2 linked regions of the Stegostoma tigrinum genome follow. The protein of the gene in region 1 purifies or fractionates together with the protein of each later gene. This does not show direct contact. Links are inferred from orthologs where the notes say so. Each region holds a gene or a part of one and is shown in the gene's direction. Other genes may lie near its edges.

Region 1 (10,626 bases):
TTTAAAGCTATGTCCCTTCGTGCTAGCCATCTCCATACAAGGAAAAAGGCTCTCACTATCTAATCCTCTGATCATCCTGTGTGTCTCTATTAGGTCACCTCTTAACCTTTTTCTCTCTAACGAAAACAGCTTCAAGTCCCTCAGCCTTTCCTCATAAGACCTTCCCTCCAGACCAGGCAACATCCTGGTAAATCTCTGCACCCTTTCCAATTCTTCCACGTCCTTCCAATAATGCAGCGACCAGAACTGTACACAATACTCCAAGTGTGGCCACACCACAGTTTTGTACAGCTGCAACATGGCCTCATGGCTCTGAAACTCAATCCCTCTACCAATAAAACCTAACACACCATACGACTTCTTAACAACCCTATCTATCTGGGTGGCAACGTTCAGGGAACTATGCACATAGACACCCTCAAGGAGGTGACTAATGACATAACAGATGTGTTGGTATTAATTTTCCAAACTCCATTAAATTCTGGAAGGTTCCATTAGACTGGGGAGTAGTAAATATAAGTGATAATGGGAACTGCAGATGCTGGAGAATCCAAGATAATAAAATGTGAGGCTGGATGAACACAGCAGGCCAAGCAGCATCTCAGGAGCACAAAAGCTGACATTTCGGGCCTAGACCCTTCATCAGAGAGGGGGATGAGGTGAGGGTTCTGGAATAAATAGGGAGCGAGGGGGAAGCGGACCGAAGATGGAGAGAAAAGAGGATAGATGGAGAGGACAGTATAGGTGGGGAGGTAGGGAGGGGATAGGTCAGTCCAGGAAAGACGGACAGGTCAAGGAGGTGGGATGAGGTTGGTACGTAGGAGATGGAGGTGCGGCGGGAGGAAGGGATGGGTGAGAGGAAGAACAGCTTAGGGAGACAGAGACAGGCTGGGCTGGTTTCGGGATGCAGTGGGTGGAGGGGAAGAGCTGGGTTGGTTGTGTGGTGCAGTGGGGGGAGGGGACGAACTGGGCTGGTTTTGGGATGCCGTGGGGGAAGGGGAGATTTTGAAGCTGGTGAAGTCCACATTGATACCATTGGGCTGCAGGGTTCCCAAGCGGAATATGAGTTGCTGTTCCTGCAACCTTTGGGTGGCATCATTGTGGCACTGCAGGAGGCCCATGATGGACATGTCATCTAAAGAATGAGAGGGGGAGTGGAAATGGTTTGCGACTGGGAGGTGCAGTTGTTTATTGCGAACCGAGCGGAGGTGTTCTGCAAAGCGGTCCCCAAGCCTCCGCTTGGTTTCCCCAATGTAGAGGAAGCCACACCGGGTACAATGGATACAGTATACCACATTGGCAGATGTGCAGGTGAACCTCTGCTTAATATGGAAAGTCATCTTGGGGCCTGGGATAGGGGTGAGGGAGGAGGTGTGGGGGCAAGTGTAACATTTCCTGCGATTGCAGGGAAAGGTGCCGGGTGTGGTGGGGTTGGAGGGCAGTGTGGAGCGAACAAGGGAGTCACGGAGAGAGTGGTCTCTCCAGAAAGCAGACAAGGGTGGGGATGGAAAAATGTCTTGGGTGGTGGGGTCGGATTGTAGATGGCGGAAGTGTCGGAGGATGATGCGTTGTGTCTGGAGGTTGGTGGGGTGGTGTGTGAGAACGGGGGCGGGGTGTGAGGGTTGTGTTGCGGGAAATGCGGGAGACGCGGTTCCCTTATTTGGATAAGCTCATGAGTAGGAAAGGTTTGGAGGGATATCGGCCAAGGGTTGGCAGTGGGACTAGCTCGCTTTGGGAACATGGTCAGACCAAAGGGTCTGTTTCTGTACTGTATGACTCTAAGAAGGGAGGGAGGCATAAACAAGATACTTTGGGCCAGTTATTTGACTTGTGTTGTGGAAAAATTTTAGAATTGATCATTAAAGACATTATAACTGGGCACTGGGAAAAATCCAAGATGACCTGAAAGAGTTAGCATGGCTTTGTGAAAAGGAAATTGTATATAATCTACTTATTGGGGTTCTTTGATGTCATATGACCTGTGGATAAAGAGGTGTACATTGATATATTGTACATTGATTTCCAGAAGGCATTTAACAAGGTTCCACGTAAAATGATATCATGGAAAATAGGAATTCATGGTGTAGGGAGTAACATATTTGCACGGATAGATAGTTGGCTAACTGGCAAAAAATGAAGAGTATGCATAAATAGATCTGTTTCAGTTTGGCAGCACGTCACAAGTAGGGACCCACGGAGGTCTGTGCTGGGCAGATCACATTTTACAATTTATATCACTGACACAGATGAAGGGATTCAAGGCACAGTGGCTAAGTTTGCAGGTAACACAAAGAAAAGTAGATTTTATTTGTGAAGATGATATATCAAGGATGGAGGTCGATACCATAGATTAGGTGAGTGGACAGAAAGTTGACCAATGGAACATAAAGTGGAATTCAGCTCCAGGAGCGGGGGGAAGCAGAATAGTTGAAAATTTTTAAAGTGGAGGTGATAGGTTCTTATTACGCAGGGGAATCAAAGTTATTGGGGGCAGATGACAGGGGTGAAAGAATTAAAAAGGACCTAAGATGCAACTTTTTCACACAGAGGTGGGTGTGTGTATGGATGGAATGAGCTGCCAGAGGTGGTGGTGGAGGCTGTTACAATCATGCTTAAAACAAATCTAGTTCAGCACATGAACAGAAAGGGTTGACAGGGATATGAGCCAAATGCTGGCAAATGGGACTAGATCAGTTTAGGATATCTGATCAGTGCAGATGAATTGGATTGAAGGGTCTGCTTCCATGGTGTATAACTCTATGATTCTACAAGGAATTTGGAACATAAATTGATCAGCTATGATTTTACCGAATGGCAGAGCAAACTTGAAGAGTTGAATGGCCTACTTCTCCTCCAGATTCATATGTTTGTATGAATGTTAGATGGGGCACGTACGGAGAAGAGTTCATTTGTGATGTGCCTTGCCCCACCTCAATCCCCGTCTCAGCGTAATCAAACAGCTACTGTCATAATCACGCGAGGGTATTAGCACTTCAAAGGGAAACTGAATATGACTGGAGTCTAAGGCGCTGCATTGCACCAAAATGTGAATTATTTCATAAGATGGGAGGGTGGCAATGGACAGTTACTTTTCAGACTGGAGGCCACAAGAATCGGTGCTGGGTCCACTGCTTTTTGTCATTTTATATAAATGATTTGGATGTGAACACAGGAGGTATGATCAGTAAGTTTGCAGATGACACCAAATTGGAGGTGGAATGGATGGCCAAGAAGATTACCTCAGAGTACACGGAACCTCGATCAGATGACCAGTGGGCCGAGGAGTTTAATTTAAATAAATGTGAGGTGCCACATTTTGTAAAGGCAAATTAGGGCAAGACTTATACACTTAGTAGTTAGGTCCTGGGGCGTGTTGATGAACAAAGAGACCTTGGCACGCAGGTCTGTAGTTCGTTGAAAGTGGAGTCGCAGTTAGATTGGACAGTGAAGGCTGCATTTGGTACGCTTGCTTTTATTGGTCAATGAATTGAGTAGAGGAGTTGGGAGGTCATGTTGTGCCTGTACACAACATTGATTAGGCCACTATTGAAAAATTGCATGCAAATCTGGTCTCCTTGCTATAGGAAAGCTGTTGTGAAACTTGAAAGGGTTCAGAAAAGATTTACAAGGATGTCAGGGTTGGAGTGTTTGAGTTATCGGGGGAGGCTGAACAGGCTGGGGCTATTTTCCCTGAAGTGTCAGAGGCTGAGGGGGTGGCCTTATGCAGGTTTATAAAATCATGAGGGGCATGGTTTGAGTAAGTAGGCCAGGTCTTTTCCCCAGGGAAGACCAAAACGAGAGGACACAGGTTTAAGGTGAGAGGGAAAGGATTTAAAAGGAACCTAACGGGCAACTTTTTTCACACAGAGGATAGTGCGTGTGTGGAATGAGCTGCTAGAGGAAGTGGTGGAACTGGTACAATTACAACATTTAAAAGGCATCTGGATGTGTATATGAAGAGGAAGGATTTAGATGGATATGGGCCAAATGGGACTAGATTTATACAAGATATCTGGTCGACATGGACCAGTTGGACCGGATGGTCTGTTTCTGTGCTGTACAATTCTGTGGTTCTAGCTATGAGAAATGAATTATTGAAATTAGAATACTATCTTTAACCCTGGGACTTCTGTTCAAATCAGATTTTCTCTATTGGCTGTCTTAATAATTGACAATCAGTCTCAAACTCGTGACAATCAGCATCATACACACTGAATCCAAAACTAGCATTCAGCTTGGTAAAAATAAGAACATAAGAAATAGACACTGGCCTTTCATTTACATCCTTAGTGATCCCCTTGCTGAAAATAAGACCTACATTTGGCCAACAACAGTGACATGGATTTACACCAGAAAACACTAGCAATCATCATTTCAGAAGATCTCACCCACCACTGCCATTACAAAGTTGACTCAGATTGTTTGGTTGTTTGCTTCAGCTGACCAAGCAGTCGATACGGGTCAGATCTCTACCAACAGCATTTGATTCAAACCCTCTTCTGACTGAGCTGAGTTCAGGACCCTTTTGGAGCCATGGTGGAGATCAGAGTTTTGTGAATGAAACTTGCCTTTGGGCAGAAAATTGAAGTAGCCAAGAACAAGAGTGTCTTTTGTTTGATGATACTGGCCTAACTTAGTGCCTTCTTCCAAGTTGGTTTTAAAAAGGCCAGATCAACTTCAGCAATTCAAGAAAGCAGCTCAGCATCGCCATCTCAAGAGCAGTTGGGTTATGTAATAAATATTTGCCCAGATAGTAACATTCACATTTCATTTCAGTATCAAGGCCCATGCCCTTGAGCTGACCAGACCAGCATGTTTCATAATTACTTAATGTTGATGCAACTTTAAAATGGGGAAGCTAACAAAAGTTGCAACTTTAACAGATTTAACATGGTAAAACAATCCAAGCTACTTCACAAGAGCATCAATCAGGCACAATGTGACACCAAACTCCAAAAGGAAATACTGACACAAGTGACTAAAAGCTCAGCCAAACATATAGCTTTTCAGAAGGATGTTAAAGGAGGCAACAGAGGTGGACAGGTTTAAAGAGGAAATTTCAGAAGTGGTGGTTACAGCTGAAAACATAGGTTCCAACTGTAGAGTGATGAAAATCAGGGGTACTCAAAAGGAAAGAATTTGAGGTGCCTAAGACATCTCAGACCTGGGGGAAGTGAGAGAAATTGACAAGGGGAAAGGTCACTGGAAGATTTAGAAATAAGAATTTCAAAATCGAAGTGTTGCAGGACCAGGCAACAATGTAGCCGAGCGAGGTCCGAGCAGCAGGGTTATGGTTGAGCTTGAATTTTGATGGAGTAGAAGACATATTATAATCTCTGATGAAGGGTCTAGGCCCGAAACGTGAGCATTCCTGCTCCTGAGATGCTGCTTGGCCTGCTGCGTTCATCCAGTTCCACACCTTGTTATCTCGGATTCTCCAGCATCTGCAGTTCCCATTATCACATATTATAATCAACCTGGTCAGAGGTGTTAACCTCTGGAACAGGAGGGATTTGAACCTAGGGCTCCTAATTTCGGGATAGGCGCACTTCCACCGCATCACGACAGCACCTCTGAGTGGAAGACGAGGTAGCCAGGATAGCACTGGAATAGTCCATGGTTTAAAATGATTGCTTCTGGTGATTTCTGTGATCCTAACAGTCTGCAGTCACCACCTCTGGCCGAACCTCCCCCTGAGTTTATCAGGTCAAAATAAATAGGTAGCAGTAACACAATCACTTGAAGCCGGGGCCAAGGCGCAGCAGTTAATAATCAGCCGTAGGTTTCTTTTCGTTGAAAAACCAACAGGCCCCGTTTAATCGCCGTGGATTTACCTCAGGACGGTTGTGACCGAGTGCAGCAGCATCTTTTCCCCCCACTCCCCGCCAACCCCACAAACCGCCGCCCACCCACAAGCCCCGGGTCCGCCTCCTCCCGAGCTCCGGCTACTCGCCCCATCCCGCAGATTGGTTCCGACTCCCCGGCACGCCACCATCTTTAGCGGCAACATGGGTAAAGCATTTCCACTCTTTTATTTATTTTTTTTAAAAAATCTTTAAAACAAAACCGAAGAAAGGGGGTCGGTATCCCGCTGCTTCTTGTCCGTTCGCCCTTTGTAATTTTTGGTCAGCGGCGCAGGGGTGGTGAAGGTGAAGGGTTGTTGTTTGTATGGTGTTTAAGTTGGGGGGGGAGGTGGTATGTGAGGGGAGGGCGGCCTCGGGCTTTATTGTGTCTCGGGGTTTTTTGTGCCGATCCCTGGGCCTAGGCCGCGGCCTGACCATTCAAAAGCATCTCCTTTCCTCAATCGAAGTTATCCTCGTCGCCAAGGACTTGATTTTATTTTTTTTTGAAATGCCGCGTCAATTTCTTTTCATTTGCGAGAAAAAGGGTGTCATTTTAAAAAAACATGAACTTGCTTTGATTAGTGCGCGTGCGCCATGCGGGATCATAGAGGAATGTTTTAACGCTGAGAATTGTATTTACTTTATGCAGAGGATTTTAAATGCACGTTCACAGTCGTGTTTCTACGAAGAACTTGCACTTTTGGGGGGAAAACGAAGCACATTTTTTCACCGAAATCCAATGTTTGGTCCCTGTCCCGGGTACATTTGTGCCGCGCGCGGTTTGTAGTCCGGCGGTGGCGGCGCCTCACTGCGCATGGGCGGGCGCTCCGAGCCACTGAAAAGAAGACGAAAATCTGCTCCTTTCGAAGCGGGGAGGCTACCCTCTCCCCAGGCAGGAGCGGGGAGGATATGCGACGGGAATGTGGCCGACGCCCTCCCTTCTTTAGCCCCGGAGTAGCGGGTTTTGAAGGCCCCCATGAAGGCGGGAAGCAGGGCCGGCGTGGACTACAACTCCCAGCAACCCCCACCACTGGGCGCCATGTTGGAATTTCCCGCGCCTGCGCACTGGCGGCGCTCGGTCACCGTGGCGGGTTGTGAAGAAGCCTTTTGTTTGTGTGTGTTTCTTTTACATTTTTACCAAAACAGCTTGTGTATTTTTGCAAGATTTGTTTTCTTAGATTATAGTAATCGTGGGATTTGAAGACGGTTTAAAATACTAGTATTACCGTCGGCCGCTCCTTTTTATAAAAGGTACGGGTTTGCATTTTAAACGTTCCCTTTTTAAAGTTGCAAACACCACCTGCAGCTTAACGGCGACTCGTTGCATTAATTTGAAAATATTTTTTCCCACTTCACTGAATCCTCCTTCATTCCCCGCCCAATTTGAAGGCGTCAGTTGGGTTTCGGTGGGTGGCATTTGGCCTCTAAAGTCAGAAGATGGTGGGTTCAAGCCCCACCGCAGAGACTTGAGCGCACAATCTAGGCCAACGCTGTGTGGTGCTGTACTGAGGGGGTGCTGCACTGCCAGACGTGCCATCATTTCGGTGGGACGCTAAATGGAGTGATGCTGTGGGATGTTAAAGATCCCGCGTCCACTCGTTCAGAAGATCAGGACACCGTGTCCTGACCGTTATTCCCGCCCCCCCTTACTAACAACGCAGGAGCCAAATGAGGGTTATCTAAATGGATAATTGTTAATCTGAGAGAAACATACTTCAGATGTTAAACCTGTAAGAATCTCAAAATGCTGGAAGTGCTTAACAGATCTAGCATTATCCACTGAGAGAGAAACAATGAATGATTCTAGTCGATGAAGGAGTTTATTTATTGCGGAGAGATTAACTGATCATGTCACGTTGCTATTTGTTGTGGTGACTTCCTTTAACAACTGGACAGCAGCATTCATTCAATAATTTGCTCTGCTGTGAATCGTGTTTTATTTTGTGCACGTTTTGACCCACACAGTGCAGGAGAAGGAAGAGAGTTTCTTCCTTGGCGCTATCTTGTCAGCCAGATCTTTGGCAGAGGTTTAGCAGATGGTTCTCTTCAACTGGTGCCAAATTATACCATGCCTTTCACAAACTCAGATCATCATGCAGCTCTTTTCAACCAAGAAGTAGTTTTGAAATATAGTCACTGCTTAATGATGTGGGAAGTGTAGCAACCAGTTTAGACACAGAAACCTCTCAAACAATAATGTGGAAGTGGTCAGGTCTTTAATAATTTCAAACAAAATGTTGAAGAAACTCAAGACTGGCAGCATCTGTAGAGATATAATCAATTAATATTTGAAGCTTGGTATGACTCCTTCAGAACATATTTTTAGTGATATTTGTTGAAGGGTAAGAGATGGAGACACCAGGGAGAACTCTGCTGTTTTTCAGAGTTGCTGTGGATATTTTGCATTCATCTAAGAAGGCAGATGGCACTTAAGGTCTTATCAGATGTTAGATATTTTGGATAGTACAAGACAGGTCAGCCTGGATGTGGGGGAATTAGAATCCACTATCTTCTAACGCCAAGGTGAAAATGCTGCCACTGAGACAAAACTGACACTTTAATCAAAGCCTCCGGTGACAATTTTTCAGAATAACCAGTTGTTGATCTGAATGAGGTTATGCACCCGTTACTGTACTTCATCTTGTTTAAGAGGTATACTCATGAAGTTGTTGCCAGGATACAGTGAAATTTGCCAGGCAATAATAGTACTGTGAAACTGGCTGTGATGCAGCATAGGATCTCATTGAAACCACTATTTTGGTCGGTACTGACTCTGAGTCTGTTGCACTAATTGGTACTCTGCAATAAAAATTGCCTTAAAATAAAATGACACCCAGAAATACTAAATCTATATATCTTCTTAAAAAATCCTTTGACAGAAGAGGAGGCGAGGAGAATGTGAGCTGATTCTTAATGAGCAATCTCTGCAGAGCAGCAGGGCTTAGAGAAGCTGCTTTTCCATTGCTGCTGTTTTAATTCTAATTCCAGCCAGGAGATCTGGTTTCTGAGCTTGTTTCTAAGGTTGTGTTAACACCTGGTTCATATTCCAGTAACAGATTTAGTGTCTCATGAGTTCACAATCAGTACATAATGCTGTCAAGAATTAGTGTACAGTTTAGTGCAAATATTGGTCAATAGTGTAAATGAACGTTTTTGAATATGGACCTGTCAGACAAGTTATAATGGTGTTGGAAGCAAAGGTTTATTAAAACCACTAGTTTGTGATGAAAGGAATCTAGTCATATGGGCCTAGCCAGGTTACATCCTGACAGTTTTTTTTGTTGGGGAATGGCAGTGTCATTTGGTTCCAGTCAACTGTGACTCGAATAATTTTGCCTTAAAGTCCCACCGTTGCTTACAAGAATTTTTCTTACTTGTGATACAGGATTAAATTTCATAGGTTTCATTTTGTGAATAGGCACTTTGACCTCCAAGCTGCCTCCCTGCTCCTGTAGCCCAGCAGCAGCAAGCTGTGAACAGTTAAAACTGGGCTGTGGATTGTAACTTGCTGCCAGCAAGCCTGCTTGTAAGCTTGACCGCAGGTCTGACATGGCAAGACACCCAATGTGTTGCCATGTGGGTTGCAAACATTTGTACTCGGACATGCAATCTCAACTGACTGCAGCTCCTCACGGCCCTAATCATCATCTCCCTGTTTGCATCAATATGGCTTTTTAACCAATTCCTCTTTGATAAAGGTCTACATCAAGCAAAACTACATGTTTTAGACTAGTTTTCCAAAAATGTTCTAAATAGGTGATTAGGTAATCCAGACTGTTGGCTACACATACTGGGACTGTAAATATTCACATTTCATAATGAAGAACTTGTTTAGGGGAAGGGGTTTACAATGTAAAATATAGAACATGAAGCTTGTTGCTGTCTAGAATTAGGAGGGAATTAATTTCTTATGCAAGATGATACTGAAACCCCTGCATTGATGATGGACATAATTTTCAAAGTCCTCTTATGAAAGTCAGCTTCAGAGGAATCATTTCAGTGTGTGTATATATATGTGTGTGTAATACACATATATAATATGTACTATATATAAAATGTATTTATTTAAAAAAGCTTAGCCCTTCTGGATGGTTTTATTTTCAGTGTTCAGTATAATTCTTCATGATTAGTTGGTGTTGATCTTATTTTATGGTTTTGACTTATGTGACGTATGGCCATTTCAATGAAAATTATTAAAATATTCTACATAAATATACTTCTTGTATTGCAACAGAGATTACATAAAAGGTATTTAATTGTCTGCAGTGGGACTTTTGGAAGTCCTGTGTTTGTGAAAAGCACTGTCTATAAATTTGTGGTTGCTGCGCCATTCCTCATACTTAATCAGTTCCCTGACTCTTCTGAAATCTTCAGCTTACACGTTCGCCGTTCATAAGATCTAACTTTCTGTCAATCCATTAGTTTGGGAATAAACATTTGAGATTGGGTGATTGTCCTGGGTGTGTAAGGGGAGGAGCAATAAGAATTGATTATGCTCTCATCGCTGTTCATGAATGGAGCCTGGAGAATGGGAATATCTCATTGTTCGTTTGTTAAACCATTCTTGGGACATGGGGTGCTCACTGACAAAGCTGTACTTAATTCCACATCCCTACTCTCTAATAAGCAGTTTGATACAATTGAAATAAATGTTTTTGTTTGTATATCACCCTTCCTGACTGCAGGATGCCCCAAAATACAACATTACTAATGAGATTATACTGCTCTGAAGTGTAGTTATGCCATATTGTAGGAAACATCATAGCCAAATCTGTGTGAAGTA
Region 2 (10,975 bases), on another chromosome or scaffold:
ACAAATGACATTGGTAGAAATAGAGAAGAGATCCTGTGGAGTGATTATAGAAAGATAAGAAAAAAGTTAAAAACCAGGACCTCAACAATGGTGATCTCTGGTTTACTTTCAGTGCTATGTGCCAGGATCCTGGGTAAGTGAGCTAAGAATATAAGAATGCTCAATATAGATAAGTGTGAGGTGTTCCATTTTGGAAAGTCAAATTAAGGTAGGAGTTTCATGGTGAGTGGTAGGGCCTTAAAGAGTGTAGTGAAAGAGGGACCTTGGAGTTCAGGTTCACAGTCCTCTGAAAGTGGAGTCACAGGACAGGGTAGTGAAGAAGGCTTTTGGCTCACTGGCCTTCATCAGTCAGCGCATTGAGTATAGGAGTTGGGAAGTTATGTTGCAGTTGCACAGGATGCTGGTGAGGCTGCACTTGGAGTATTGTGTTCAGTTTTGGTAACCTTGCTATAGGAAAGATGTTATTAAATTGGAAAGATTGCAGAAGAAATTTACAAGGATGTTGCTAAGACTCAAGGGACTGTGTTATAGGGAGAGGTTGAAAAAACTAGGACTTCTTTCTTTCGAGCGTAGGAGACTGAGGAGGGATCTTATAGAAGTGATTAAGATCATGAGGGGCATAGATAGGGTGAATGCACTCAGTCTTTTTCCCAGAGTTAGAGAATCAAGGACTAGAGGGCATCAGGTGTAAAGTTAGAGGGGAAAGAATAAATGGGAACCTGAGGGCAACTTTTTTTTACACAGAGGTTGGTATGCAAATGGAATGAGATGCCAGCAGAAGTGGTTGAGATGGGTACAACATTAAAAAGGCATTTGGATGACTACATGGATAGGAAAGATTCAGAAATATATGGGCCAAGTGTAGAGAAATGGTTTTGTCGTGGATTGACATTTTGGTCAGCATAGACCAGTTTGGGCTGAAGGGCCTGTCTCCATGCTGTAGGACTCTATGACTCCATAATATGGGAGAATTCAGCAGGTCTGGCTGCATCTAAGTTTGTTTCTATCACCAATCTTTCTGCTCCCCGAGAACTGGTATCCTATTGGCAGTTTTTAATTTATCTAAGCCTGGAGATAGCAATATGGTCAAGATCCTAGCCACAAAAGGCCTTGTTAAATATTAGAGGTCCTTACACAAGACAACAGGATACCTATTGGAATGATTCATGAACTGCAACTATATAAAGAGACTGAGACTAGGCATAGCATTCCAGCTAAGGCTAAGTAAGGACAAAGGCTTTATTTTATCACATAATTTTAATAAATAATTCACAAATGTCATCATCACTGAAAATAATTATTTAAGTTTTTAATGCTAATCCCTAATTGTTTTAGAGATATGACATAGTTTGCAAGGCAAATTTAGAGAATGATTAAGAGTCAACCACATTATTATGGGTCTGAAGTCACATATGGGTGAGACCAGATAAAGATAGATTTTCTCCTCCATAGGGCATTTGTGAAACATGGTCATGATTAATATTGCCAGCTTTTTATTTCAAATGTAATTATTTAACTGATTTTAAAATCTACCTGCCATGGTGAGATTTGAACTCATCTCAAAGTCATCAGTCCAGGCCTTCAGATTACTGGTTTGGTAACATAACCACTGTTGCCACCATACCTTGTGAAGTGTGATCATTTTTAATCCAAAAGTGTTTTTTTTGCCAGGGATTATTTCAGCTTTGGAGAAAATGACCCTGCTCAATACACAGACTGGTCCCAGGGACAAAACCTTTTCAATTATTGAAGGTAAAATTACTATGGTGTTACTACACAATAGGGTTGCTCTCTCATTAAAGACAGACGACTGGTGGTGGTTTAACCAGAGAGTTAACACACTTCAAGTGGAAGACAGGTTAAGGAGAGTTAGGGTAACCTCAGCTTGTGCAGGAATTGAACGCATGTTATTGGCATCACTCTGTGTCGCAAAGCAGCCATCCAGCCAACTGATCCCCTACTTTACTTTCAATTACTAACCAGAAGCCAACCCTATTAAATGCAGACATTGAGCAACTTTTCCTGTCAACTCCAAACCAGCAAGGGAGACAGTGGCATTGAACAGTTTGATAAGCAAAGAGACAACAGATCCCTTGGAAGGCAGTTCACACATTGTACAAAATTCAATATACATTCAAATTTCTGCCTGGCTGAGTATTGTGGGTGGAGGGACTGGATGTTTATAGATATGGTGCCAATCAAATAAGCTGCTTTGTGCTGGATGGCATCAAGCTTCTTGAGTTTTGTTGGTGCTGCATTCATCCAGCCGAGTGTGGAGTTTTCCATCATGATCTCAACTTTTGATAACAAAGTGTGGAGCTGGATGAACACGGCAGGCCAAGCAGCACCTTATGAGCTCAAAAGTTAACGTTTCAGGCCTAGACCCTTCCAAAATGTCAGCTTTTCTTCTCCTAAGATGGTGCTTGGCCTGCTGTGTTCATCCAGCTCCACACTTTGTTATGTCGGATTCTCCAGCATCTGCAGTTCAACTTGTGCCTTGTAAATGGTGGTCAGGCTTTGGGGAGTCACGAGGTGAGTTAAATGCAACAAGATTCGTGGCTGTGACCTGATCTTGTAGCCACAGTGTTCATAATGATTTGTATTCATAGAATCCCTACAGTGTGGAAACAGGGCCTTTGGTCCAATGAATCCACACTGATCCTTGGAACATCCCACAAAGACCTATCCCCCTATAACCCATCGAAGCTACACATCCCTAAACAATACAGGCAACTTAGCATGGCCAATCCACCTAGCCTGCATATCTTTGGACTGTGGGAGGAAACCAGAGTACCTGGGCGAAACCCACACAGACATGGAGAGAACATGCAAACTCCACGCAGACTGTCACCTGAGGGTGGAATTGAACCCAAGTCCCTGGCGCTGTGAGGCAGCAGTACTAACCACTGAGCCACCGTGCCACTCCTTAGTTCCTAGTCAATTTTAAGCCCCAGATGCTGAAATTCAGGAATTGTACGATTGAGAAATCATTGTATGTCAAGGGCAATGATCAGATTCTCATATTGGAGATATTCATTGCTTGGCACTTACTTGTCACTTGTCAGGCCAAACCTGAATTTTGTCCTGAACTTGTTACATTTGGACACAGATTGCTTCAGTATCTGAAGATTTACAATTTATTTAGAACATTGTGCAATCATCAGTGAACATCCCTACTTCTGACCTTATGACAGGATATTACTGAAGCAGCTGAAGATGGTTAGACCTAGGACACTACCCTGAGGAATTCCTGTACAACCATCCTGGAGCTGAGGTGTCTGACCTCCACCAACCATAACCAGGTTTGTGTCAGGTGTAACCCCAACCAAAAGAGAGTTCTCCCTTAATTCCCATTGACTCCAAGCCTGCTAGCGTTCCTTAATGCCATATTCAGTCAAATACAATTTTGATGTCAAGCACAGTCATTTTCACGTCCCCTTGGGAGCTCAGCATTGAAGCAAAGATATAACATAGTGAGGAATTGAGATACCCTGGCAGAAACCAGGGTGAGCAGGTTATCGCTAAGCAAACATTGCTCAGTAGCACTGTTGATGACACTTGTCATAAATTCACTGATGATTGAGATTAAACTAATAGGGTCAGGTTGGAAGTTCTCACATTGTTGGATAGATGCTTGTGTTATAGCTGTACTAGAACAGCTTGAAGGGAGTGGCAAATCTGGAGTGTACTTCTTCAGTACTATTGTCGCTAGTGATCTTGGGAGGAGGCCAGACGGATCATCTACTTGGCACTCTTGGCTGAAGATTGTTGCAAATGCTTTCGTCCTTTTGCACTAATGTATTATCATTGTTGAGAATGGGGATATTTGTAGATCCTCATCCTGCCAATCACTTTTTAAATTGCACACTACCAGCCATGACCGGATGTGGCAGGTCTGAAGAGCTTTGTTTTTGGAATCACTTAGCTCTGTATATCACTTGCTGCTTACACTGTTTTATCTTGTAGTGGTATTGTTTCGTAGCTTCACCAGGTTAACACCTGATGTGCAAGTAGGCCTGGTTCTGCTCCAGCCTTCTTCATTGAACCAGACTTGATGATAGTGTTGCAGGGATTTGCCCAGGCCATGAGGTTGCCATTGGTGGGTGTACAATTCTGCCGCTGCTGTCAGTCCGCAGTGCATCATGCATGTCTAATCTTGATTTGGGAGATATGTTCAAAGTCTATTTCATTCAGCATGGCGTCAATGATCAATACGAAGGCAGGACTTTGTCTCCATAAGGATTGTGCTGTGGTCAGTCTTATTAATGTTGTCATGACAGATCGCATCTACCGCAGGAAGATCAATGGGAATGAGGTCAAGTACATTTTTCACTCTTGTCGGTTCCATCACTACTTGCCACAGATCTGGTATAGCAGCTATGTTCTTTAGGACTTGACCAACTCAGTCAGTAGTGATGCTTCCATTGGCAATGGACTCTGAAATTGCCTAATCAAAGGACATTCTGTGCCCTTGCCACCTTTAGTTTTTTTTCCAAGTGGTGTTCAGCATAGTACACTGAGTCATCGTCTGAGGTGGGGATCAGTTTGTAGTAATCAGCAGAAGCTTTCCTTGCCCATGTCTGACCTGACATATGAGATTCACAAGGTCTGCTTTCAATGTTGAAAACTCCTGCAGAAACTACCTCCTGACTGTATACCACTGTGTCTCAACATCTGCTGCATTTGTCCTGGTGATGGGACAGGGATAATGATGGTGTTGTCAAGAATGATACATGTAAGGTATGATTCTTTGAGTATGAGCATGTCAGGCTGATAGCTCTCCTAATCTTGGCACTAGCCCTTACATGTTGGTGAGAAGGACTTTGCAGGATCAACAGGCCATTATCATTTCTGGGTGTCTTGGTTGATGCCGGATGGTCTGTCTAGTTTTATTCTCTTTTTTTAAAGTTAGAGACAACAGAGTCCATTGCTAGTGGTACTTAAGAGGAAACCACATTTCTGTGGCTCTGTAGGCCAGATCACGTTTTCTCTTTCTGAATGATGTTTGTGAACTAGATAAGTTTTGATGACAATAGTTTTTTGGCCATCACTCAGATATTTATTGCATTCAAATTCCACCATTTGCCATGGTGGAATTTGAATCCAGGTCCTTAGTACAATACCTGGGTTTCTGGATTACCAATCTCAGTGACAATACCATCACCTCCTTTCTGACATTTTGAAAACTGAGGAAATGTTTACCTCATTCACTATTTTGATAAATGCTTCATAAAGTGAACTGAAATGTGGGACAGGACCCTTTTCTGGCCATGTTGGGTCTTCCTGATATATCCTACTTTAAGTAGCTAAATAGTACATATCTAATCATCCCTCTTTATTACTGACAACAAACTACTAGGCCTAAAGGTATCCTATTCTGTCTTATCTCCCTCATTAAAAAAGGAATATTAGTCTTCTTCCAGTCTATGGGGGAGGTGGGGGGGTGGTTGGTTTAGCTTGGGGAGGGTTGCAAGAAGGGTGTTAGGAGACCCTTATCCTGTTTCCTTGAGACCCACTGGATGGATATCCTTTCAATGATCTACTGTTTTATGTCAAGGTTCTTAATTCTAAAATAATATTGTTTTTAATATTAACAATGTTAATTAGTGACATTGTTGAATTCTACTGGTTAAGCATCATCCTCAAAAGTGAAAATTGATACAAGGTACTCATTTAATATTTTTGACATACCAAAATCCATCCATATTCTTTCCCTGTAGTTATTTCAATGATCTTCAAAAGTGAAAATTGACACAAGTTACTCATTTAATATTTTCGACATACCAAAATCCATCCGTATTCTTTCCCTGTAGTTATTTCAATGATTGAATATGGGTGATTGAAATCCTGATATAACACTTTTTTCCCATTACTATCACAATTGTTCAAAATCTTCTTTTCCATTAAACTTTTTAGCTGCTTTTGGAATTGGAAATTTGGAATTGTGTTTGTATTACTTTAATTTGTTTATGTGAATTTCCATTTAAAATGGTGGTGCTGTCTTACACAGCTGAAGCTTGGTCCATGCCTGTGGAGTTGCATTATTTTGCTTGCACTATGTTCTAAGTAGCTAAACATGGAAGCAATTTATCTCTTCGCTGAAAGAAAATTCATGTAAACAGTGGTATTGTTGAGTAGGACGTATACGATGTGAAGAAATGCAACCAAAACAATGGCTGAAAACAACCATTTTATTTGCAAAGGACTGTAACGATAAATGGCAAACAGATCAATAAAAATGATATGCTGGGAATCTACTGGTGAAAGATCGAGTGCTGGAGTTTAGCGAGGAATCATGCCTGAACTGTAGATAAGCAGTTAAAATCGTTTGTCAACAATTTCCGAGAACGTGTTGTCCAGCACTAGCAGCCAGAGAGCCAAGAGTCATGGAGTCAGCAGTATTCCGGTAAACATCTTCCGGAATATTAATTAAGACATTCTTTGCAACGGCCTCTTTGCAAAACATCCACGCAACTATTAAAATAACCGCACGTTTCAACGATCTTCCCATGTGTGGTGATGAAAGATTGATTTGTTTTAAAAAGGCTCGACAGATGTTTACTTTATTCACTCCCCAAAAGACAAACTGTTATTTGGTCCCTTTCTCCTGAAGGCCTGGTTTCCCAGTGTCCCATGGGGCGCTGGCCCAATTGGCCATTGATTATTACTTTTCTTGCAGCGTCGAGTTTCCTTCGAGTTGACACCTGCCTTGTTGATCTGATGGGAGTTCATTCCCATTTTGTTTTTCTTCAGACAGGAAACCGGGTGCTGCGAGAAAAACGAGCAGTGGTTTTTGTTTTGACCTCTTTCCACTCCCTGACCCCCCCCCCAACACACAAACCATCCAAAATATTTCTTTTCCAGTGAGTGAATAGTCAGAATCCTGCTCTCTCTCACCTGGTCAGGAAGCCGACACCATTTCCACGCTTTCCTGAAGCCCCAGCTGCCACTTATGTATGTTTAAAAAGAAACAGCGACAACAGAGAGAGGCGGCTGTGAGAGGAAGGCGCCTCCACTGGCGGAGGGAAAGGAGGAAGGCGGTTGTCGTTGGGGGGGTGGGGGGAGAAAAACAGGAGACGGTTGGTGATGGTGGTGGAAGAACAAACACGCACTTGGCGGGGACAAAGGACTGCGCCCGCTCGCGTTTCTGACAGGAAGCCGACCATCGGGCTGTACCCAGCCGATACCAGCAAAACCCCCACTTTCCCCCCGTCACACACCAACCCGGTTGCCGCGGGCAGGGCTCAGCAACGGCCGGCGTCCCACCGCCCCCTTTCTTTTAACCTCCCCTCCCCCCAACCTCCCGCCTTCACCATCTCCGGGCACAATAGCGAGCAAAATGGCGGCCGTGCCTGGATGGATGGAGGACGAGCGCTGACAATAAAAACCCGGCCCGCCGCTCCTCCGCGCACTCCCTTGTGCCAAAATAAAAGGTACGTGCGTGTGTGTTTTTTTTCCTCCTTCCCGTCGCAATAAGCTCACCGACAGTAGAGAGAGAGCGGTGGATGGGGGTGGGGGAGGACGACGATCGGTTGGGAGTTTTGCTTTTTTTTGCTTGCCATCCATTCCACCACCAATCCCCCCTCCCCCCTCCTTTCTCTCTCCCTCTCTCTCTTCCCCCCCACCTCCTTGGTTGTTGGGTTGTAGTTTGGACCCAGCGATTCGACAGCGTGACAGACAATTCAGGCGGGACGGGGCACACACTACTTGCATGTCTTCCTTTGCCACGCAACATGGCATCTCGGACCAATTCTTCCACCCCGTCCCCTCCCCCAATCTTGGGTTTTATCATGCTAGTTCCCACTACTCCAACAACAAAAGTTGGGTTACCCCTTTTTCAATGTCAATTTTTGAGCTTTGTGCAGTTCTTTAATTTGAATAGGTTCTGCTCTGCACTGCGACTCATCCACACGCATAAACTGAACACTGGCATTGATTGTGGGCAAAATGGGGGAAAGCATGTCAGGAGTGTGTTGTAGGAATTGAAAGGAACTGTGCTGTGCTTCAAAGTCTATGACTCCAAACTGGATTGTCTGCCTTTAAACTTGCTCTTATTTGTTTTGTATGGTGTTTGGTGGCGTTTGTTACCAAATCCAAGGTCAATGATGTACAATACCACTAATCTTTGGATTCTATGTAAGGCAACTGAAGTTTTTTTTTCCAAATGCCATCATAGAATAATGGCTGTACAATGGATCCCAAGTAACTTAAATCTAGAGGAACTTTAACATAGTGTCATGAATTTATGTTTTTGAATTCTTGCATAAAATTTCTAAATAGCTGTAAATTTTGAAATTTTGCCCCCTCCTTTTTGATATACTTTAATCAGTTGCAGTTTATGATAAGCCCTTCAAGGGACACTAAAATTTTTTCCAACTATTTCATAACTAATGGTTATGTGGAGTTGGGTGCAGGACAAGTGCATTAGATCCAGAAATACAAGAGTCTGATGCTGTCTAATCTTGGTTTTTGTTTTTTTTTGTGTACTGAGGCTGATTTTCCTGAATTTAACTTAATAGTGCAAGATTCTTGTAGGACCTTTAACTTGCTTTCTGTGGCATGTTGTCACAATAATATTCAGTGTGCTTTAAATATTTGTAAGCTATCTTTGGCCAAGGAGTCTACAAATACTCTTTTGAAAGCCTCCATAATAATTGGTTTCCAGTATGAGCATTTGGCCTGCATTCATTTTGCATGTAATTTTGTAGTTATTTTAATGTCTAGTTTAAAAGACGTATAATCTTGTCCATTAAACATTTCAAGCTGGATTATTTTCTCACACACTGTAACCCAGCTGGGTGTGAATAACACAGAATTGTCACCACCATTTAATTAAACTTAGCTGATTTGCTCTATAAATAGAGTAATAAAGTTTTTGTTTGTCCTTTTGAGTCATCTGAGGTGTTTAATAGGGTTCGGGCAGGTAACTACTGAGGTGATCTAGACCTGGAAAGTTCTGTTGCAAAAGGATACAGCAGATAATTGATGACGACAAAGTGTGGAGCTGGATGAACACAGCAGGCCAAGCAGCATCTTAGGAGCACAAAAGCTGACGTTTCGGGCCTAGACCCTTCATCAGAAGTTGTGCTCCTAAGATGCTGCTTGGCCTGCTGTGTTCATCCAGCTCTACACCCTGTTATCTCGGAGCTTTGGACAAGTTGGTTTTGGAATCCTGTCCAACATCTACCTGAAGCAGAGGGAAAATTCCTATTTTCAAAGGAAGCCACAATGTTTATTTTTGGTTTGTTGTTCCATGTACATGGATTCTGAATGAGTTTCTCCCAGGAGTCTTAAATTGTTGACATGAAAACTCTTAAGTGGAATTTTTAGATTAGCCAAATGAAGCACTACAAGGACAATGTGAAAGCACAGAGCTGGCTGAAGCTCTCCATAGAAGCTTTGCATTGGTAAGCAAACAAAGTTTTATAAAAGTAAGTATAAGTAAATGTGGTATAAGGACTTGGAAGTTGTACATATCCAAATTGTATTGGTTTATACCTGATGGAATGATCTGTAAACACTTTTAAAATTTGTCAAGCTTTGTGATGAACAACTGTTAATGTTCAGCATAGACCTATTCTATCTAGTTTTTTCTAATTAAAAGTTGGGAAGAATCTGAAGTTGGATCTATGATTACAACTTGGCTGATTTAATACAAAATATGTCATATTGCTTTGTATTGGATCTGCTTAAAAGTATTCATGATGGAAAAGTGCATGTCTGTGCCTCCTCAAATACTAAGTTCTTACTTTAATGCACATTGGCTTGATTTCACGTTATAATATTCCTCTGCAATGTCTTGTGTAGGAACATGTTAAAATGGTTATTTTGCTCAATGATTTCACTTTTGTATGGTTTGGATTTTGCCATTATGTTGACAAAGAAATCATCAGTAGGAGTAAATTTACTGCAGATCCTGGAAGCTGTACTGAAAACAACAAATGCTGCAAATTGCAGTGGGTCAGGCAGCATCGGTAGAGATAGAGCAAGCTAATGTTTTGAGACTAGGTGACTCTTCATAAGAGTTGACATGAAATGAGGAGTGAGCAGCAGTTATGCAATAGAAGAGTAGTGGAGTGCTGGTGGAGAAAGCATGCTGATTAATTGATTGGAATGTGAGAATGGCAAAATGGTGGTGTGTCCAACTGCCAAGCTAGAAAGAACAGATGGCCCCGGTGGAGTGGAGGGGGGAGGGGAGAGAGGTCACGGTGACAGAGAATACCACATGTAAAGCGAAAAGAAATGGGAGTGGGTTCACAATCTGGAGGCGCAGAACTCAATATTAAGTCCACAAGGTTGTAAAGTGCGTGGTTTGAAGACGAGATGTTGTTCCTTCAGTTTGCACTATGATTCGATGGAGCATTGCAGCATGCCGAGGACAGACATGTGGCCATGCAAGTCGTTAAAACGACTGGCCAAGGGAAGATTGGGGGTCCTACTTAAGCATGGAGTGGAAGTCTTCTGCAACATGGTCACCCAGTCTACATTCATCAGTGTTCGCTGTTATAAAATGGACAGTTAAGTTCTGAAAACCATGTGCACGGCTAAAGGAAGAAATCTAGTTAGAATTTGCTGTAATTTGATTCTGTTCTTTTCAGTACATTGCACTGTTGAAGTTCCTGCATGCAGCAGTTAACGAAAATAATTACAATTAAAAGAATTTGCCTTTTTACAGTGTTAGTCTTGGTGTAAACAAAACTCTTAAAAGTTGTGGTAAAGGAGCTTTTAATGGGGCAATTCTTTCATAATTACCAATGAGAACTTCTGTTTTCAAATATGGAATTTCATAATGATGTTTAAAAATTTATTTGATGTTTCAGTTATCTTAATCTGGTTTATGTCTGACCATTTGGATTATTCATTAAGGGAACAGATTTGTTGAAGTCAAATTGTGCACAACTAAGTTTTGGAGAGTAGTGGGAAAGGTTGATTAAGATGACGTGGTGTTCATGGACCTCCGGACAGCATTTGACAA

The links.
Region 2: the proteins of cbx1b (region 1) and zinc finger protein 644-like purify together in Homo sapiens (affinity purification with mass spectrometry; 3 studies listed by BioGRID and IntAct, with this or other methods). This does not show direct contact. The link is inferred for Stegostoma tigrinum from reciprocal best matches to the Homo sapiens genes CBX1 and ZNF644.

The regions. Positions count from the first base shown.
Region 1 is NC_081384.1:3,309,256-3,319,881, reverse strand, and holds the start of cbx1b (chromobox protein homolog 1b), read left to right. Parts: upstream 1-5,885; 5' UTR 5,886-6,008; coding exon 6,009-6,012; intron 6,013-6,935; exon of another isoform or gene 6,936-6,958; intron 6,959-6,964; exon of another isoform or gene 6,965-7,094; intron 7,095-10,626. UniProt on the Homo sapiens protein: Component of heterochromatin. Recognizes and binds histone H3 tails methylated at 'Lys-9', leading to epigenetic repression. Interaction with lamin B receptor (LBR) can contribute to the association of the heterochromatin with the inner nuclear membrane.
Region 2 is NC_081361.1:87,619,811-87,630,785, forward strand, and holds the start of zinc finger protein 644-like, read left to right. Parts: upstream 1-6,774; 5' UTR 6,775-7,086; coding exon 7,087-7,433; intron 7,434-7,482; exon of another isoform or gene 7,483-7,576; intron 7,577-7,625; exon of another isoform or gene 7,626-7,764; intron 7,765-10,975.